Linked DNA regions of Coturnix japonica. The protein of the gene in region 1 interacts with the protein of each later gene in a pairwise test. Links are inferred from orthologs where the notes say so. Each region holds a gene or a part of one and is shown on either strand. Other genes may lie near its edges.

Evidence for each region.
Region 2: the proteins of PRKCI (region 1) and PARD6G interact in binary tests that used the Homo sapiens proteins (3 or more experiments, as listed by UniProt). The link is inferred for Coturnix japonica from reciprocal best matches to the Homo sapiens genes PRKCI and PARD6G.
Region 3: the proteins of PRKCI (region 1) and PARD6B interact in binary tests that used the Homo sapiens proteins (3 or more experiments, as listed by UniProt). The link is inferred for Coturnix japonica from reciprocal best matches to the Homo sapiens genes PRKCI and PARD6B.

What each region holds. Positions count from the first base shown.
Region 1 is NC_029524.1:17,532,688-17,539,520, forward strand, and holds part of PRKCI (protein kinase C iota type), read right to left. Parts: intron 5,635-6,833; coding exon 5,545-5,634; intron 4,805-5,544; coding exon 4,754-4,804; intron 3,625-4,753; coding exon 3,539-3,624; intron 2,256-3,538; coding exon 2,115-2,255; intron 1,288-2,114; coding exon 1,236-1,287; intron 598-1,235; coding exon 539-597; intron 97-538; coding exon 1-96.
Region 2 is NC_029517.1:80,910,186-80,917,446, forward strand, and holds the start of PARD6G (partitioning defective 6 homolog gamma), read right to left. Parts: upstream 4,436-7,261; 5' UTR 4,392-4,435; coding exon 4,320-4,391; intron 1-4,319. UniProt on the Homo sapiens protein: Adapter protein involved in asymmetrical cell division and cell polarization processes. May play a role in the formation of epithelial tight junctions. The PARD6-PARD3 complex links GTP-bound Rho small GTPases to atypical protein kinase C proteins.
Region 3 is NC_029535.1:12,086,875-12,093,707, forward strand, and holds part of PARD6B (partitioning defective 6 homolog beta), read right to left. Parts: intron 4,397-6,833; coding exon 4,174-4,396; intron 1-4,173. UniProt on the Homo sapiens protein: Adapter protein involved in asymmetrical cell division and cell polarization processes. Probably involved in formation of epithelial tight junctions.

The DNA.
Region 1 (6,833 bases):
TTTAGCATAACTGCCTCTTCCTATAACTCGGAGCAAATCAAAATCCTGAAGACCCAGGCTGGAAGAAGCTTTGCCACTTTCTCTTATGCCCATTGCCTACAGATAGAGATACTTCTGAGTTCATGAACAGGCTTGTCAATTTTAACGACTGTAGTTGCTATTCTTTAAAGACAGTTAGCACTTCAAACAGAATAGAACAATAAAAACACAAGTGATTCAATGAACACTTGCAATTCTTAAACTGCACTGCCAGGAAAAGGAACAGAAGGGAAAGGGAAGAAGGCAGAACAAACAGGACAGATGAAAAACAAATGAAACTAGAAGAATTTGGAAAACTTTCTAAATCAAAGCACATCTCAACCCAGGCTTTAAAAACAATCAGCTTGAAAGACACACATGCGACCACCGAGTGAGCAATCCAAACATGCTCTATGTACTGGTTTTCATTTTGTGACAAGTTAAATTACTAAAGCAATAAAATAAAGAGTGCCAGAGTTGAAGATCGCTGAACACAATTAGTGTGGTTAAGATACTTCACCTCTTTTTCTTCACCAACATGGTCTAAGCTCTCATGACTCGATGGATTATATGGAATCACTAGAGATGCAAGGAAAACAATTAGATCCATGGAACACAACTCGATTTTCTTTCTCTTAAAAATTTCCACTCGTTAGTTGAATCAAGGAGAAACAGCTTAAATGTACCTATTATATGCTTTCAAAACTGGTATTTTTTGTTGTTGTTTTTAAGCTAGCAAAATCATTCTTTTGCAATACTGCAATAACAACTGTTATGGCTTATATAACGTTGTGATTATATTTGGAAATCTATTTAGACTCTCCTTGACACACTGTATCTTGTGCCAAATAACATTTGTTGTTGTTTAACAAATCACTGTCCATTGAAACTGAAACACCAGGAAATCTTGTTTAATTTTTTTCCACTGTAACTTTGTTTACTGCCTTTTTGTTTGCTTAATGATGTTTAAAGTACACTCCTTACTGATGGAAAAATCTAAGTATCAGACTCGATTCTTTGCAACGGTTTGTCAAACTGCAAGACGCAGGAAATAGGAGATTTTATATTTAAATCCCCCTTAGTTTTTAAAGCAGCTGTCCTCTTTGTCTTGCCCAACAAAAAGAAGTAAAGCAGAATTCTTAAAGCAATTTGCTTAAAGTTATTCTGTTTCATATTAAAACCCATGTTCATGTTTCAAAGGGAAGCACTGATCTTACCTGATTCTACGTTATCCGGATGCACCGATGGATCCATAGGCATTATTGGTTCCTGCAAATTTGCACAACATTTGTTTAACAGATTGTGAAAAGCATTTGAGAGACAATAAAGAATCTCTGAGAAATATAATCTGTTTTAGATGAATCCACATAACTACTGCTCTAGTCCATACAGTATAAAAAGAATCACCATAGACCTTATTTTTCCTGCTTTCCAGAAGTTATGGCAAGTTGCTAGAAGCTATTGAAGAAAACTTCATACAGCAAGGAGAAGGTAGTAGATTAGATGCAAAATGAGACAGAAAATTGCACATACTTCAGCAGCTTTATTATCCAAATAAATTTATGAAATAAAGACTTCCAGCTGTCCATTTTTAAACATTAAACTGCAAGTGGTATTTACATATTGCTTTTTGGGGACTTGAGAACTAAAGATGATTGCATCACTTAGGAGGAGGTCAGAACTATTGTGCCTTGCCTTCCTTTTCTATCAAACAAAATAGTCTAATAATCTAACAGATGTTTAGAGAATTTACTTGTATGTCACTCTGAATATGTGAAATGTAATATATGTACACGTTCATATAAACACTATGTAACTACATGTCATATTTACCTTGCTTTTCACCATCTGACACAGAAATAGACAATCTATACAAGAATTAAGACCTTCTTGTTACTGAAATGCTATTTTGCTAAGCATCTCTTCTATTTTCTTGTCATGTAATGCAGTAGCCATAAAGAATGACAGCCTTTTTAAGCTTTATCTACTGTGATTGTTTGCTGAGCATAGTCTGAAAGCCATTTAGTATGAAACAAGCTCCTTTATTTCATTTATTGTTGCTTTTTAAGACAACATTTCAGATAAACCGTACTTACTGGTTGTAGTGTATGACGACCACAGTCAGTATTGACTAGTTTGTGACACTTCTTGTGAACAAGGAGTTTGCAGTTGATGCATTTATACCCCTGGCGACCCAGGCCCCATATTCGGTCTGAGCAGATGGCACAGTGAGCTCTCTAGAAGAATAAATCAATAAAACTGATTAAAAGCAAAGCTAAATAACAGAAACTATTCAGCCACGTTCCCATTACTGAAGAACAGAGGATAGGAGATCAGAAAAACCCCTACTCAAGTTGCTACTGTACCTGAAAAGCCTATGACAGAACTTTAAGATAGAACAAGCAGATACAACACAGAAAAGCCCAAGAATTACAAATGAACAATAAGCAGCGACTGCTTATCAGAAAGAGCACATTTACATGGGAAGGTGCAGGCACAGTCAGCCTCTTCTGCTGCACGTGGACCCAGAGAGATGGGTGTCAACTGCAGGTCAAAAGCAGTGCAGATGAATAAGCAGGCTCCTGTGACCAAGCTAGTTTGCTAGGTCTCATTATCTTTATGTAGGGGAGTCCTTAGATTTGAAGAGAGAACAGCAGGAAAGCAAAAGCTTCAACATAGATAAACCACCAGCTAAGAGGAAATGGGAAGATCACCACCCACTGAAGGACACTCATAACTCAAAAGAACCATGAATGCAGGGCACCAACAAAAGCAAGTGGGATGGTGCCTTCAGCCTTTGACCGGGAAGAGGTCAATGAATATTTCCTAGAGCATTGCTTATGTAAAAAATATTAAATGAATAATGCTGAAGACGAAGTTTAGTGGAGATCATTTTGAGAGTTACTTAAGCACGTGATTCACAGCTTAGAGAAAAAGGAAAGAATACTGAAGCTGTCAAGGAACCTTGCTTATTCAATTCTTATTTTATCTAATTTTTCAGATACAAGCCGCAGATAGCTCTCTTGATTCTCAATCGTCTTTGGCTATTGCTTATTGAAAGTATTAAAACTGGCCAGTTATTTTCAATTGTTTCTACGCCATCATAAGCAGATGCTAGAGAAACATCTCAGGTTTTGTTTAAGTCGTGAAGGAAAACTGTGCATCATAAGCAACTCGACGTATGCTTAAACAACTGCAAATGCACTTTCAGTTCAATCATCTAATGCCAGTGTTAAAGTCTGCCCTCCCCGGAGATTTTAAGGGAGCACCAGAACACTTCCGTGACAGCATAGTTACAGAGTACACTGTAAAGTGAATTGCAACTATTTATGTTTTTATGAGCCTAATTTTATATGGATAAAGTTTCCTGAAACTACAGTTACCAGCATCTAAGAACTACAGGCAGTCAACAGCAATTAGAATAAATCTACCTTTTTATTTTTTTCAAGGCAGTAACATTAAAATTATAAAAGTAAGACAACCCTGGAACATGGTTTTAAGTACCCAACAAGAGTCTCACCCTGTTAAATCGTTTGGCTTGGAAAGTGTGACCATTTGCACAATAGAGCTTTCGCCACCGGCGGGCGCCACGGCGATAAATGGATTCTAAGAGGAAAAACATACAATTATATCCATAAAAGATATAAATACAGAACTACAGTACTTTCTTACTGGTGCTTCTGTGTACAGTGATTTGCAGAGTAAAGTTTCATTCCTGCAGCCTTATAGAAACACAAAGTATTTTCTTCATTTTTCCAATTTTGGAGAAAACATCAAGCAAAATACTCTGACCATCTGAAAGTTAATTCTGCCTTTCCAAAGTTAAAAGGCGGAGTGAGTCAAAAGGAGGAAAACTGTCCAAACAACACAAGCACTTGTTTGCAAAACATGCACATACCTTACTTAATTCAAGGAGGAGCTGTGGGAGGGAGGGAAGAAGGTCCATTTCAGGAGCATGTCCTGTTATGGCTGCATGCACAAACCCTCCAGTATCTTAGGTCCACAGCTGCCACCATTTTCTGACTGTTTGTTTGTCTCATTACAGGCATTTCAGGACCCAAAACTGAAAACTAGAATATGCAAAACTACCTCAAGTTGCAAAGCTATTTCAGATGTAGCCTAGAACCTTTCTTTCTCCCCTTCAGAAAGGCAGCATTAATCCTACTGCCATAGTTAACATTTAAGCATGCACACTGACATTTGTCAAGAACTTGGATATCAAGCTGACAGACGTGTGCATGCATAGCATACCCATCATCTTTTATAAGATGAATAACAACAGCATAGAAGCCTACATTAAACATATGGAAAATCACCTCTCATGGTTAGTACATTTACCAGCATGACAAAGGTGTTCACAAAATATTCCTGATTTTACCCAAAGGTTGGTCTGAAATTGATTATTTGACACCTCATTACAAGTGGTTACAAGTCTTTGTTCACATCAGTCAGCGAGCAATCTGGCAACTACTAGAGACAGGAACAGAATGGAAAACTGCCATGGAAGAGGCAAAAGCAAGGAAAGCAGAGACACGTGGAGAGTTAACAGAAATACAAAAATGCTTTATTAACAATGACTCAGAAATGACAAACAACATTCCTTTTTAATATTTAAGCTGTAGAGATTCGTGTTATTAATAGTCATAAGCACAGGAAATCAAACAATAGAGTATCAACTTTTTCTAGAATACACATTACTTATTTTAAGTATGCCCAAATGAAGATGCCTACTTACTGTCTTCTCCTGGGCAAGGCATGCCAGGCCGTTCCGGTACACAAGGGAACACTGCAAGAAAAATATCAGCTTCTTATTAATCTGTTTCATACAGAAGACAATTCTTTGGGTTAAATACAACACCTACATAGTAAAAAGGCAACAGAAAATTGCTAAAATGCATTCTAACAGCAAGCAAGAAAAAAAGATGCCACAAAACCCTGTACTGGACATAACAGTGATCCAAGTGTGAAATGCAACTGGACAGCGGAGTAAGGTAACTTGTGTAAAGATGCTGGCAACAAGTAGTGAGGCTGGTTTCTCAATTGTCCAATCACTGCAGTGGGTATTTGGAAATCTGGACTGTAGGTGAAGCACATTACAGTGTTCCAGAACAGCCAAGTATGATTTTGCCTACATTAGTTCTTTGTTTCCAGTGTATTTAGCTGCAGTAGGAAAAGAAAACTTGGGAAAGTTAACCCTGGTGCATATTTATTGAGAAGCCAATCAAGCAGAAGTAAATGGAGACAAGACAGATCAAAAAGCAGAATAATAAAAAACAGAGATACACATATAGGAGCAGATGAAATCATTTTTACATCTTTTTTCCTTTCTTAATTCCATAAAGAACACTGACAAGTACTGACAGCTAAAAAGGCTGACGTCGTCTTTGGCATCCTCTTGACAGGCAGCCACAATAGACTTTAACTGAAGAAGACAGAGTAGTGCAAAAGACACTGATAACATGAGGAAAAAATTCCTGTTCTCCGTAGGTGCAAACATTAGAAGTAATACATTAAATTTTACTGTACCATGAATTAGAAGTTCTGAATCCTTGTTTAGTTCATACAACCGAAACGCCTCTTCTAACTCCAGCTGTGAAGAAACAGTACATGGGTCTCCTGAAAGAAGAAAACATCACAAAACTCGGTCTAATTAGTTCCGTGTGGTTCAGCAGCTCCCTCGCAGTTGTTCCTAAGATAATTATTGTATCAAACCAAAGCAATACCCTCGGCGTGGTAGCGTTTCTGTCATTTTTCATCATATTGCACATCACTGTCCCATTGGACAGACTTGGCACTCAGCTGCCTACCCACCCCATAAACACAAAGTGAAGAGTGTGGAAGGAGCAGGAACATCCCTATTCATTCAGACTCACTGTGAACCAACAAACCAGTTTTTCTTCATTTGTTTTTGACACCTGTGCAAACAGCTTGTTTCTTTCTGACAGAAGAAAGGGAGGCTCACAAAAGAGCATAAGCAGTGCTTCAGATTGCACACAACGTTTACAGACTAGAAAGGAACCTTCATAATTAAATCTGACATGTGCTTTTTCAAATTGGTGACCACAAGTTAAAAACACAATGCTCTACACCTGCAACAACTCTTGTGTTGTTGTGTACTTGTGTACATAGCTTGGGAAAGCTGGTGATAGCAGAAGAGAAAACCTGCTCAGATTCTGAAGACCACGCAAAGTGTTTGACACAACTGATCACATAGCACATCCAAAAGCAACTTGAGTCCCTGTTTAGCTTTGAGCTCTCAATAAATTGGCACTCACCCAATTCTGAATAAGAAATCTGTGGCAAGGGGAGGAAAGAGGCCTATAAGCACCATCTACGCTAATCACTGCATACAGTTACTAATCATTGCCTTTTATGTATTGCATCAAGTACTCAGCTGGCTAAAATAACAACAGCTATTCCATAATTTAGATGTCTTTGGTGTGGCTCAAAACTTATGTTCAGAGCACAACTCCACTAAGAAAACAAGAGTTACAAGTAGGCTTTTCAAAACATGCCTAACATATACACAGCTCAGAGTGGAAAAACAGAGAGAGGACTGAACTTTTTTCAACTGATATAAAATATGACCTGCATAAATGATGTGCTAAAGATTAACAACATTTCAGGGCTAAAATTTCTATGGAAAGCCACTATACATCACTCAGCCGAGTGTTTTCTCCAAAGTATTTTCTCTTTTAATACTTTTTAAAGGGTTGTTTTTAAATAGCTGTATGTTATAAGACTCAAGGCTGCTAATGGAACAGCTGATTCACTCAAAATGCATTTTCTGGTTCTATGCACAACTATATACAGTA
Region 2 (7,261 bases), on another chromosome or scaffold:
ACACTCTCTGGCACTGCTCTCCATCTCACCACAGCCATCTCTAGCAGCAAGATGCCACCAACCAAGCAGATGCTCTCTGCAACAAGTTCTCATCTTGCCTTCTGCCATATGCCTCAAATTGAGCCACACTGTGCTCACTCTTTTCCATTCCTCACCTAAATTCTTCATCACTGAACACAAGAACCTTACACAGCTTCCCCCTAGCACCTGTATCTTCTGTACCACCCTTCATGGAGGAGCCACAGATAGATGTTAGCTACCTTCAGATCTTTTCGGGCCAGTATCTGAAACCCACAAACACCACTCACACATCTGCACAGTTAGACTCTTGCTTGACTACTGGTCTGTGCTTTTCAGTGGCTTTTTGAAGTACCATTTTCCACATCACCATACAACAGAAGATATTTTTTCCCAGCCTGTTCCTTTGAAGTCACACTCTTTATCACCCGTCCCCCCCTCTGCTCCAGTGGCTTTCTCAATTAGGGTCACCAGCATAACCACCCTCTCTGCTTCAGCTCATGATAAATATCTTCAATCCCACAGTGCTGTCCCTACTTCATGCAGCGGCTGTTCACAACAAACACCTTAAAAGAAAGAAATATTTGCCTTACATGGCTGTTCTCCCCCTTCAGAAGGGAATCAATTCCAGTCTCCTAGTTTCAGGAATCTTGCTTGCAAAGGATGTGGAGCAAACTGGTCTTGTGTTTTCAAGAGCACTGCACAATACGCACTGCCAAGCCTTAGCACTAATACAGCACGGGAATCACACATCCATGGCATGCCACCATCAACACAAGGAGAAAAGGAGCAGCTGGCCCCTTGCCATCCACAGGACAAAGCAGCACTGAGTCAGGAGACCCGGTATTACACACAGCCAGCAGCACACAAGCCTGCAGGCAGACAGGCAGCCCATGCACTAGTGCAGGTCTCCAGCCAGAGCAAACTACTTTCCCACCATTTTCTAAGTAACGTAACCAGTAAGGGCTCTGGCTGGTAGCAAACGCATTTAAGACCCTTTTAGTTTTTGCCAGAGCTCTCCACAGCCACCAGCAGCAGCAGAGAAGCAACCTGACACACAGGCACACCTTACCAGACCTGACAGGGAAGCAGTAGGATGGCCCCAGGCTGGATGGCCTGGGGCTGGTACACCACACCCTGCCCCAGACATCCCTGCCTCAATTAACTGCAGGAATTTCCAATGGGAACGGCACTAAATGCTGCTGGGAGACCTTGCCTTCACTTCCAGGGAGGGAATGTCTCAGAAGGTACATTTCATCCTTAACTTCTGGCTGCATTGTAAATGTAATTAGGGGCAAGCAATCAATCTTTAGTAGAGTGTTTCACTTTAAGCGCACACAAAGGCATGATAAGGCACTACTGAGGAAAGCACTATTAATTGCAGCCCCAAAGAGCTCCTTAGAGGTGGCTGGTCCTGCAGGCTGCCAGACAGAGCCTCCACGAGGTATATTAGCCTCCAACAGGAGACATTCCTTTCTGACTCTGGCTGTAAACAGCTTTTCAACATTAAAGAGCAATCCCAGCAAATTAAAGGTCCGTTGTTCTGTGGCCTTTAGGACAGTTTCAGTGTGGCGAGACTGAAATCTAGAAGGCGACTCCATAAGACAGACTTGTTGGATGGAATTTCAAGCAGATCAGGAATTCCTAAGTCCCTAGGATAAAAGTGACCACAAAAGCAGGGGTGAGAACCTGGAGGTGGATTGAAGCACAGGAGAGTATGGGAAATACCATAACACAAGGCAGCAGGACAGTTCTCTTCAACGTTTCGAAGCTCAAAACCAGCAGTTCAAACACCTGGTCATAGGATTTTTCGCAGCACTTGTTTTCATTGCATTCTAGGTACGATAAATACGAACCTAACTTGGAAGAAACTAAAGTACTACTTAAAAACACAAACCTTTTTAAACATACAGGGTTTTCGGCTGAACACCAACATTCACTGGAACAAAGCAGAAATTAGGTGGGAGAAGAGAGCAAAGGAAATACAGTTATGGTTAACTAGTATGTTTATCTTAACGGGCTTGTTTACAGTAGGAGGATGTTAGTCACGTTGTTCATTTGTCTATCAGTTTGTAGTACAAGAAAACACGACACTATTAACATGGCAGCAGTGTCAAGGACTAGCACCAAGCATCCAAACCAGCACCTGAGTCAGGCAGCTGTACTTCCATAGTCCTCAACTACTGATCAGAGTTCTCAACAGCAGCTAAACAAGATGGCTTTTGTAAAGGATTATTTCTTTTCTGGCATCTAAGAGTGTGTTTTAAAACCTGAAAAAGAATTCTTATCAGTATATACAACTTAGAGAAAATAAAGCAATTTTTCAATTGGAGGAGGGTGAAAGAAGATGGACTACACAGAGCTGTAATTAAAGAGGAAGTCTCAGTATTAATGCAGGAATTCCTATTTTATAAGTCCTGGTTCTTCTATAGGTTTACATTCACAAAGAGAGGGGCCTTCAACCTCTCAGTAAAGCTAGAGAAAAACGAAGACTAGAAGAATAGGTTTGTGATCTAGTGCCAACAGGAAGGATTCTTAATAAAACAAGAATCCCCACGCGTTGTTTGCTCTGGAAATCTTGGTAAATGGGAGAGAAAGAGTCATCTGGAAACCTTTTTTTAGAGATTAGAGGTGATTTCTTCAAAGGGAGCAGCCACACCACTTGTCACCAGACTGGGCAAGTATGAGACATAGGAGAATACACGGCTCTTTCAGGCCTGCAAGATAAAGTGGCTTCAGATCCTGTCTAAAAAGGCTGAAACATTTATTTTGAGCGACAGGGACAACACCTAGATAACAACTGAGCTTCTAATTTACACTGTTGAGAAACACTCGAGAAGAGAAAAGGGAGAAGACATAATTACAATTCAATTATTATTTTCCTTTGACATGTGCCAATTTCTAAGCAGGTTTCTCCTTCCTCTCCCACCCAGCAATAAGCTTGCAAGTGCTTTGATTATAAGGCCGGCTTCAGGGGCGGAGATGGGGGCAGGACAGGCCTGAAGGAAGACGGCTCCCTAAAGCACAAGACTCTGCAATTGCAATTACAGTTACTGCCATGTTTGAGAGCAGACACATGCACAGGGCTCATATTCCCTCCTCCCCTTCGGGACCTACTGCAACTCAGTGACCAGGAGACTTCTAAAGCACCTTCCATCTGCCCAGAGAAAAAAAGCTGGCCTGATGCACAGCGGAAGCCATTTCCACATGGCGGCCTAACGCATTACACACTTAGCTGGGTGTAGGCAGGAAATCACCTGGCTATCACACCATAGGCTAAATAAATAAATAAATAGAATTTTAAAAGTCAAGCTTGCAGCCTGTACGACTCCCCACAGCTCCTCCAGGTCTGACTCAACCCACAAGGAAAGGAATGCCCCGCTCCAAGGCAGTGCTTCCACTGGGCCCCTCCACCACAAAGCCCACCCCAGCCCTATGAAGCCCCCCAGCTGGTGGCTGCAACATGGTGCCCAGCAGCACCCAGCCAAGGCCCGACAGGCACCAACCAACAGTACGCAGACTCAACTTTCTGGTTTTCTGGCAGGCTGGGGCAGGCCTCGTGCTTGCAAAACAGAGGCAAGTAAGTACGTAGGTGCTCCCAACAGCAGTTGGAGTCTAGTCCTGCACAGCCCCTCATGTAGCAGCACCGACCAGAGCTTCTTGCTGGCTCTATCCCTACCACAGGACAGTGCTGTAAGAGGGACCCCATGGGCTCTATGCACAGCAGGAGTGAGCACCAAGTAGCTCCTTCTCACTGCCCACACAGTGTGTGCTCACAGCCCCCTAACGCCCTGCACCTACACAGGGCAGGGTGCAGGACCCTATGGACCGCTGCAGCTGTAAACAAGGCTCCGAGCCTTTATTATAGGACTCTTTTAAAGCTGTTATTAAGGCAATGGATACGTTAAGTTGAAGGAAGAGTGCACACATCCATTCTTACCAACAGCCAGTACTCCAGACCGGAGCTTATGTGTTTCGAGCACCACTCAGCACTCACAGAACAGGACCACAACTCGCCATGAGCGCAGGGGCCGCATCCCAACCCGGGAGCAGCTCAAGCCCGGCTGTGGGAGCAGGACGGACATCAGTAACCCCGCATCATTTATTTCAGTGGCACTGAGGAGCCGAGGAGCCCGTGCAGCTCCCCGCGCTGCCCCGCCGAGAGAGCGGCCGGCGGCGAAACAAAAGATCGAGCGGCGGCCACGGGCACGGGGCCCCTCGCGCCCGCCCGCACCGCCGGGAACGGAGCCCTCGAGTACCCGCCCTCAGCACCCCGGGCCGTACGGCGAGGCCGCGCTCACCTTACTCTTCACTTCCACCGCGCTGCATTCCAGATACCGCAGAGTCTGAGATTTGTTGAAGCTCCGGTTCATCTTCCGCGCCGCTGCCGCCCCCCCCGTCTTCTCCTCCTCCTCCTCCTCCCCCCGCCGCCCCGCGGCGCCCAACTCCGCTCCGCTCCACGCCGCTACGGACACTTTGTCCCGGCGCGCCAATGAGAGCGGCCGCAACACCGCGATCGCGATCCGGCTGCCGACAGCAGCGCGGCCCCGTCCGCGGCGGGGGGACGGGAGGACACGCCCACTAACCGCGTGGCCGCGCCCACTCGGCGCTGTGTGCCCGCCCTCATGGTGTAGGGTGGCGGGCAGCGGCTGTTTGATCCCATTGGGACCTACTGCAGTGATAGCATTGAGCTTAGTTTGGCACTAATAGTTCCCCTGTCCTATCACTCTGTGTGCCCCGGTGGCGCAGTGGTAGGAATGCTGCTTTGCAACACCGCAGGCCCTGAGTTCGAATCCCCCTTTGGCGCAAGTGGTAGAAGTGCCGCTCTGCTACACAGAGGCTCGAATCCCGGGGGTTGGACTCGATGATCTCTAGGGTCCCTTCCAACCCGCACGAGACTGTGATACTATGATCACTGTCCTAACACTGCTGAAGAATCCGTCCCCTTCTTTCTCACTGCTTCCCCCTTCTGATAGTAAAAGGCCACTCTCGGGTCTCACCTGATTCGTTGCCACAGACCATTGGGATTAACACAACCTTCAAGTTGCTATAGCTCAAATAGCACGGCAGAGTTTCCCTGAATATTGTATGATTTATGGCTTGATAGTAAGATTATAGATTGACTTACAATAAAGAGGGAAGGGAAAAGGGAAGGGAAAAGGGAGGGAAGGGGAGGGAGGGAAGGGAGGGAGGGAGGAAAGGAAGGAAGGAAAGGGGAGGGAAGGAGAGGAGAAGGAAAGGAAAGGGGAAGGGAAGGGGAGGGAAGGGGAGGGAGGGAGGGGAGGGAAGGGAAAAGGGAGGAAGGGAGCGAAGGGAGGGAGGGAGGAAAGGAAGGAAAGGGGAGGGAAGGAGAGGAGAGGAGAAGGAAAGGAGAGGAGAAGGAAAGGAAAGGAGAAGGGAAGGGAAGGGAAGGGAAGGGAAGGGAAGGGAAGGGAAGGGAAGGGAAGGGAAGGGAAGGAAGAAGCTGAAATGTGGGTTTTGGTCAGTTTCTCATCTAAATACTCAAGAGGTTTTCAGCCTGATGTGGGATGCAGCAAACTGGAACGAACAACCTGAGGCCATTCCTTCTCATGCTATCACTATTACCAGGGATAAGAGGCTGAGCCCCCTATCTAGCTATTAGGTTAGGAAAAATGTTATCAGATGACTTCTTAAGTCTGTTCTTTGCAGGATTTCTCTGGCAGATCCACTACAGCAGTTACCATATTAAGATAAAGATAGATAGAAAGGTGTGGCTCCTGATTAATAATAATGATAAAAACCAGTTGGAGGGAGAGCTCACACTTATTCATGCAGCAAAATCCCTCCCATGTTAGCCAGACCACTGCACATAGCTGTACCAGGCGGGGGTCACCTGATCCCATCAGAGTTAGTCCATGGACAGGCACTGTGCAGCTCTTAATCAGCAGGAATGGATGTAATCTCTTCCTCACCCACCTGATCTACAAAGAGGTTTGCCAAGAAGCTGCTTATTGCGTTACATATTTGTTTCCAGGCTGCATTCACGCCCTGTAAAACACTGAAGTTTTGGAATGCTTGTGCACAATCGATCCTTTCCAGAGCTTTCAGCTAGGGCACAAGTTCCCAGAGTCCTTCAAAGCAGCTGCTCAGAGCTGCACGGAGCATGAGACGCATTAAATCCTCCTTCCCACAGGCTTAGGGCCAGATGCTCAGCGGGTGCAAAGCAGCAGAGCCTCACTGCAGCTCTTTGGGGGCCCTAAGCCTGTCAGCAGTGTGACTTCCCCTGGCCTCTGTGGATGAGGGGTCTATATTTGTAACCTCTGGCCTAGCCTCCATCCTGCGCTGCCATCCTCAGTGACTTGAAAGGGGAAGTGAGACATTAAGGACTGCTGTGTCAAGGTGCTGGAGAGAGCCAATTTGACAGAATACTCCTGAATGTGTTTCTGCATCCCAGCGTCCTGAAATCACCACAGGCTGTGTGTTTTGTGGCAGTAACACAGTGTCCTTCCCCCATTTCTGCTGCTAGCAGAAACAGGATCCTTATATATCTGCTTTCGGCCCTTTGCACCTTCTTTATATCAAGAAGTAAGAATACTTCACTGCAAAAATGATGTCTCTATGCTTTGTTTCCTTCGTAATTCGTGTCTTCCTCAAGCATGTGTGAGGATTACATGTGGGACTGTGGATTTCAGAACCCGGCCTTTTGGCCATTTTGATAATATCACGGGAGGAAAACTCTTTCCCAGAACCAAACAATTTTATTGCATTCCAGGATCATGTGCAAAACAGTGATCCCATCTGTTCAACAGCAGTCCCCCTAAGTACAGGGCTGCCTCTCGCTCACCAGTTCAGGCAGTTCAACAAAGCAGTCTCAGTTTTCAATGACAAGTTTTTCTTCTAAATACAAAACACCAGTAAGGACAGCTTGATAATAATTCATGTATCTGACAAGGTGTATCTTCTTATGTACTATTTTGACTAGTATGGACCCTGCAGAGCGGTATGGCACAACAGCACTTCCTCCTAGATTTAGGCATCTTTGAGATCAGTATTACCAGTTCCTCTAAATATACAATAAATGAATAAGCAATAACAATGTTAACCTCAAATTCGAGAGACTAAAACTGGAATTCCTAGTTTATTTGTTTTTTTCCCTGGGTCACCTTCAAGACCTTTTGATGATCTCTCCACCTGACTGCTCAAGATTCCCTCAATAGCTCTGGAAAATCTAAAGTTTAGTTCTTGTGCTTTTCCTTTCAGCAAGTGATCTGCAAAACAAAAT
Region 3 (6,833 bases), on another chromosome or scaffold:
AGCAACTTCTTTTGTCCAAAGAATGCCCATTTTCCAAAGCAATCTGCCATGTTAAGTATGCTCTAACTCCAAAAATGATGAACTGAGTTTGAAACGTTTTAAATCAGCTGTTCTTCAGCAGAAAAACTAAGCAGAAAAGACTAAAAGAAAATATTAGATCTAACATCAGGCAAGAAGGCTTTAGAAATAGTGTAAGATCTGTTCATTAGGTGTCTAAGAGAGTCAAGTCAGTTTGTGACAAAAGGTGGCTCAATCTAAAAACACCCAAAGAAAAAATCCACCTCCCCAAACAAAGCCTGCAATAGGTGGACAGTGTTTCCTGCAAAACACTTCTGCAAGTGCAAGCTTAACACTGCGTAAAATGTATGTTGAGATATCTGAGATCAGCCATTAATAATCCTGTGCTCCATGAAAACTAACATGCTGAGTTCTCAGACAACATGAAGCAATTCTTTTAATCTTTGCATTAAATAAAAGCTATATGTCAAAACATCTAAGCAGAGGCTTTGATTCTTGTATCATAGCTAGAATTAAAAGCCTAACAACACAAAACTAGTGCAAACATTATGAAGTTGCATAATTTCTGGGGAAAAAAACAACAAGGTCAATGAAGAAAACTCATCTCTCCATATCTCATATCTCTTCCAAACAGCACAACTGTTTAGAAAGTTTGTCCAGCAGCAGAGAAGTTAAAGCAATACTCTGGAGTACAAAGGCATCTTTGTTCTGGCACCTCGCTAATCAGTTTAAAGCTACAGGGAAAGATATTTGGGCATAAAGCCAAGGGACAAGGTATTAACTGCAGATAACATTAAGGAGAGCGGCCACATAGAAGTGGAGTGATTTGTTTCTTGCAGTTTCAAACTCAAGATGGCACCGATCTGTATGGACGGACTGCAGGGAATTTAACACTGCCTGCAAGTGTCAAATCTGGTTTCACATCAGTTCAAGACACTCACAATGGTTTCCCCATCTCCTGGCAAACCAACGTAACTCACAATGAGCAACTTCCCATTTGCACAAACCCCAAATCATTATTATATTGGAATAAGCGCGCAACTTACCATTTTCAAATAAGGCCCATTAAATCACCTCTTAAATAGGCCCAAATTACAACAAACCCACATGTTTTTTTCAGAAACTGGACACAAACAGAAGGAATCTTCTCTGGAAAATTGTTTTTAAAAGTTTGTTTTTCATGGAAAAAGGAAGTTCACCTTAAGAACTAGAAGTGAATTAAGAACCTCCTTTCTACTCTATAAAGCCATGCACTGGGCATGATGCACAGGAATATGAAATTACAATACAGAACACTAAGTGATCTTTATGGATTCCAAATTGAAATCATGGTCTGACTTCTGGTCTCTATGAAGAATGTATTCAAAACACAACCAACCCCCCAGCTGCCCTTCATTGTCTGTGGGGACTGTCTCTCCCTTGTTGTTATTCACAGTAAGGCTTTTCCCACAGACAGAGCGACTCCCACACATCTGGATTTAATTATGATACAGCAGTTCAACGTTTAAGTTCCAGATGTCAGCAGTACCTGTTAATCTCTTAAACTCCCAGATGAAATTCCAATATGCAACTTTTCTACAAACTGATAGCCATAACTTGTGCTACAACAAGTTCTAATTCAGACTTAATGCTGAGACAAGTGTTACAGAAACACTAGTTATAGTTAGAAAAACCTGAGAGGATGAATAATTTCATTTCATTAAGGGATATCCAGGTTTCTTACCACATCAATCAGTAAACATAAGTCCTTTGGATGCATAACCTCCCAGTTTTCACAAATCAACAGTCAAAAGTGAACATCAGATAGAAGCTGCTTACCCTGACATGCCATAACTCCTTAAGTTAGACTTGCACCATCACCACTGCCACATACTGCTATCATTACAAAAGAATCCTGTTGTTCTCCTTCCCACACCTTAAATCCTTCTTTGGATACAGGTTCAATGTTATTTATGCTCCATTTTATCATAGTTCACTCATACCTTACATGAGCTTTTAGATCAGCAAGAGAACATAATAAAGTTTCCAGTCTTTTAGAACAATGTAAACTCCCTCCTCTGTTCTGCCACCCCTCCCAGCCAGCAATAACTTTTGGCCAAAAATCTTCAATTCCCATCTATTCTTGTTGGGAATATAAGGAAAAGAAGTTTTGCTTTATAAGAATCTTAAAAAGATTTTTCCAGCAAAATCTTTAGGTGATTCAACAGTTTATGGAAGCCACAACAAACCTTACAGGAAGAAAATTAACTGAATTATTTATCGTGAATAATAGTTTCAGAGCAGTGCAGATCAGAGCAGCCCCATTAATAGCACGCATTAGTTCAAACACTCAATTCTCAAATTCATAGATGTACAGACAATAACTGTGCAGTTAGATGGACTATACATACCTAAATGGTAAGACTGCTGCACATAGATCTCAAACGGCTCAGCCTCATTTGTAACTAAGTTATCAAAAATAACAAATATTTCCTTGCTTTCCACTGTAAAGGCCCCTGTTCTATACAGCTAGGATGCTGATGGATTCATTCACAGTTAGAAGTGACCAAATAACACAGAATGCAGTACAGTGCTGGATTTGGATGCCAGTCTAGGTTCCTTGTCACCTAGAACTCCATAGTCAGAAGACTATATAGTTCCTCTTGACAGGGACTATTTTCTATAGAGCTTTTTCTGACAATCAGTTCTAGCATTATTAACATTATTAGATTAATTAGGTTAATCTTATTTCTAGTTGTGCATTACTATCAATTCTATTCTCAATTCCTTGCACCAGAAACGTAATAATAATCCATCAAACTTTTGAAAAGTATGAAGAACAAAGCATAGTAGATGTAACACCAGTTACAATTAGCATCAAGTGTTTAACGCTAGTAACAATTTAAAAACCATATGGTGTTAAATGTAACCTCAATAATCCTAGTCTGACAAAGTGGCTTATCTGTCCTCCTCATATGGCTACTGTAGGAGATTAAACTGAATCAGAGCTTTTCTGCATTTACATTCTCTTAACAGTTCATCTCCTTGGCAATACAGAAATGAAAGCACACAGACCTCACTGTATTAAGATCCACACAAACAAAACAAACACATTGTCAGAAACAGCACCTGGCAAACAGCCACAGCTTTTGAATATTGCTTCTGTGTCAGACTGTTTGTTGTGGAGTTTATTACTTTGGAGTGAGAACGTCAATAAAAGCTTCTGGTGCCCAAGTATTTTCTAGGGAAAACAAACCTGTTGATAAGCAACAGCCAGAAACAGCACACATCTTTACAAAGCAGCTGAGCAACTCATGGTGTGTTACTTAAAGAACAATCGCTTCACTGTTTGTCAACACAGGATTTGCACAGTTACATTCATATACACACAACCCTGTATTTAAGTAGAAAATCTACTAGTGTAGCAGTAAGGTTTGTTTTAATTCAGAGAACAAAGAAATCTCAAGTCACATCCCTAGGACTCCATACTCCCCAACCTCCCACCCCCTTTAGATCTCTACACTGAATATTTCTTTCTGGACAAAAACACACACAACTTAAAAACTGAATTCTGCTTCACAAATGAAGGCAAACACTAAAAAGACAACAGAACTTGGACCTAGGATGCGTGCAGTTTATAAAGCCAACTGACAAAATAATCAGCACTCACACTTGAGGTTGGCTGACAGAAATCACTGCCATTTTGAAAACTCCACATTGTTTTCTCAGGAAAGCGTTACAGAAGCAGCATATTAAAAGTTAGTCTCTATACTGACACATAACACTTTATTTATGCAGTAGGATTCCTTTCCACCCTGTAACAGCTTTTCTTTCCCCTTGTCCAATCAAGACTGGAATTTTAAATCAAACGCATCCAACACACAGACATAAAACCCTATAAATCCTGAGTTCAAAGTTCATTTGCATCAAAATGAAATCAGAAAGAAGCATTTGCTATAGATTTGATTTGATTTTATCCAACCAAACTAAACACAAGCAAAATGCATGAAGTATAAACAGGCTGCCTGAGGAAACTCTTGCAAGAGAGATGTGAATAAATCTGATCATCTACAGTTGTGGAATTCAACCCAATGGAATGGGGCATTTACTCCATTCCTCATACCGAGTAAACAGTATAATTATAAACAAGTAATTACCCACTTCAAGCACACTTACCTTTCCTCTGAATGAAAATCCTGAGTAGGGGATTGGCGGTGGAAACTGCTTTATGATAATTGTCATCGTTATTTATAGGCAGCAGATCTCCGTGAATGTCTGTATATCCCACGAGAACATCGACGTTGGGAATCTTGTGCACATGCTGCAACAATCCATAGAACTCCTCAAACTTCCCGGGTTTGGACCTCTCCAAAGAGAACCGCCGAAATTCTGCTCCAAACTACAACAAAATACATCCTATTAACATGGAAAGCTAACACACAATTGAAGCACAAAAATATTCTGAATGTTTTGCAATTAAGAGTGCACTAAGAACTACAAACAGCAATTCTGTAGAGGCATAAAACTCCTATTTGCATTGTGGTATTTTTTCCTCCCCAAAGTTTTCACAAGTTGTTTCCATCCATGTACATCAAAGCACTCACTAACACAGGAACGTGGCATTAGGGTGACAAACTAGTGCCAGAATAATTGCAGATTCTCAGACATTTATTTATGAAGTAAGAGACATTCTGGGTGAGGGGGAGAACTGATGCCCAGCACTGATGGTGGCTGCTCAAGAACAGAAAGGAGAACAACCGACTTTTTATGGCACGTGGCGACCTGCAATTCTTCAAAGAAGTCACAGAGAGCTTTAGAATGGCACATATGCATTAATACAGAGCTATGGTTAACATATGCAAGACAGAACTGCTCATATTCCTAGTTGTTCTGAACAGAAATGAAAAGCCACTTTGACCCAATGGATACAAAGAATAGCTGGTGATGTTCAGTACAAACCGTGCAGTAAAACTTTCACGAGATGCTCTTATATCAATTCTGCTTCTTTCTGGAGGAAGGAAATAAAAGGGAGCAACCAGCCGCCCCTCAAGAACATTCAGAAGATTTGCCTCTGCTTCTGAAAGATTCCAGCTTGTAGAAGAATTAGAAGGACAATAAGCTCCTCACTACAAAATACAGAGCAGCCAATTGGTGGCATTTTTGTCAATCCTGTCACTGATGGACAATGAACATCACTTCAAACTATTCCTTTACCTGGCTCAATTTTAAGAAGGCGAGGGCACACTGAATGAAACGCTGCCAGGAGTTCCAGTCTCAGTATCACATGGTGGGGTAGGTGTTACACACAGCAGGTGGGGAGGTGTAAATTACCAGGCCTCAGAGCAACCCTTACCTCACCACTGATTAAAACAGCTCTAGAGAATAGAGGCCTTAGAATTCTCACATACCAAGGCACGAAAATAAGGAGACAAGGACCCTATTGTTAGCACATTAACACCGCCCAGACTCAAACAGGCACAGCAGAACAGCCTACACACTATTAACACCTCATCTTCAAAGTTCTCAAATAATGGAATTCTCTGGGGGCACTCTAGAAATATTCCTATTTCAGTCACTTTAAGTCAGAAGAGATGACTCACACAAAGCAAACAACAGCCTGCAGGAGGAGCTTCCTCCACGTCAGAGGCAGCTGAAGTGTGATGTCAGTGATGGAACGTGACCGAGTTCCTGCTGAACCCTGCTGCAGCTATTTCAAGTATGAGCGCTATGGAAACTCTCCAAGCATTGTATCAATCTGCAGTTGTTTGGTTTTGAAAGACAACATAGTTTGAACGGTTAAGTAACACTGGAATTTAAAAGAACGCCACCAACAATCTTACTCTCAACTTGAAGCAAACATGGTGTGATTGCAGCAAGGATATGAACGGTCACATTTCCAAGCATGTGAAGTTAATTTTTCCCCCCACCATTTCCACAGACGTTATGCTCTAACAAAACTTGCCACATGCTCAGTACTACGAAGCTGATAAAGTAGAAAAGCTAAACTAATTCCCTGTCCATATTAATCTCATGTAATAATTGTCTATATTAATCTCATGCAATGTTTCCATTTGATATCAAACGTTGCACCACATTCCACTCTGCACTAACAAAAATTTGCAACTTTAATGAAGCACAGAAACGTAAAATCAGAAGAATCAGCTGGAAAAACACAGCACAAGCTATGGCAATGTACCAGGAATTCACCTGAGATACCCACGTGAGTAAGACTCGCTTATGAGAAGCATCTTTATGTCCTGTCTAATGCTGCATGCCGCTGCTACACTACCAGTCTTAAGCAATAATAACAGAACATAAGACAGATACATTTGCTGGAGCTTATCGGTATATTAGATTTCATTCCATACAAAACAAAGAATCGGAAAACACTATTCCCACTCACAATGGGCTTTGCAGGCATGGGTTTGTCAGTCGGTGCATGATTACTGAGTTGGACTACCTGAACACAGCGTTGGACACTGATGGCAAGCCTTCAAATCTTACAGCACTGCACAGGAATGCTCCCCTCCACCTCCCACACAGCTTTTCTTTCTTTTTTGGAGCTTCTTCACGGAAGGAAGATGACTCCTCTGATACATTAAATCTAGATACTTGAAAGTAATGTATTAGCAACAAGTAGTTCAGAGAACGCCTCGATACATTCTTCATAGTACACTAAGAGACAGCCCCAACTCATTAGACCTGCTCTGCAGAATGCCAAAGGAGGCACCACGCAGCTGATCCCTAGACATACTTGTAATCAGGCAATGCACACTACAGGGGAGGCTTGAGCTGTGGCAAGAAGTATTGCTTATAAACACGTTATTCTGATTGCT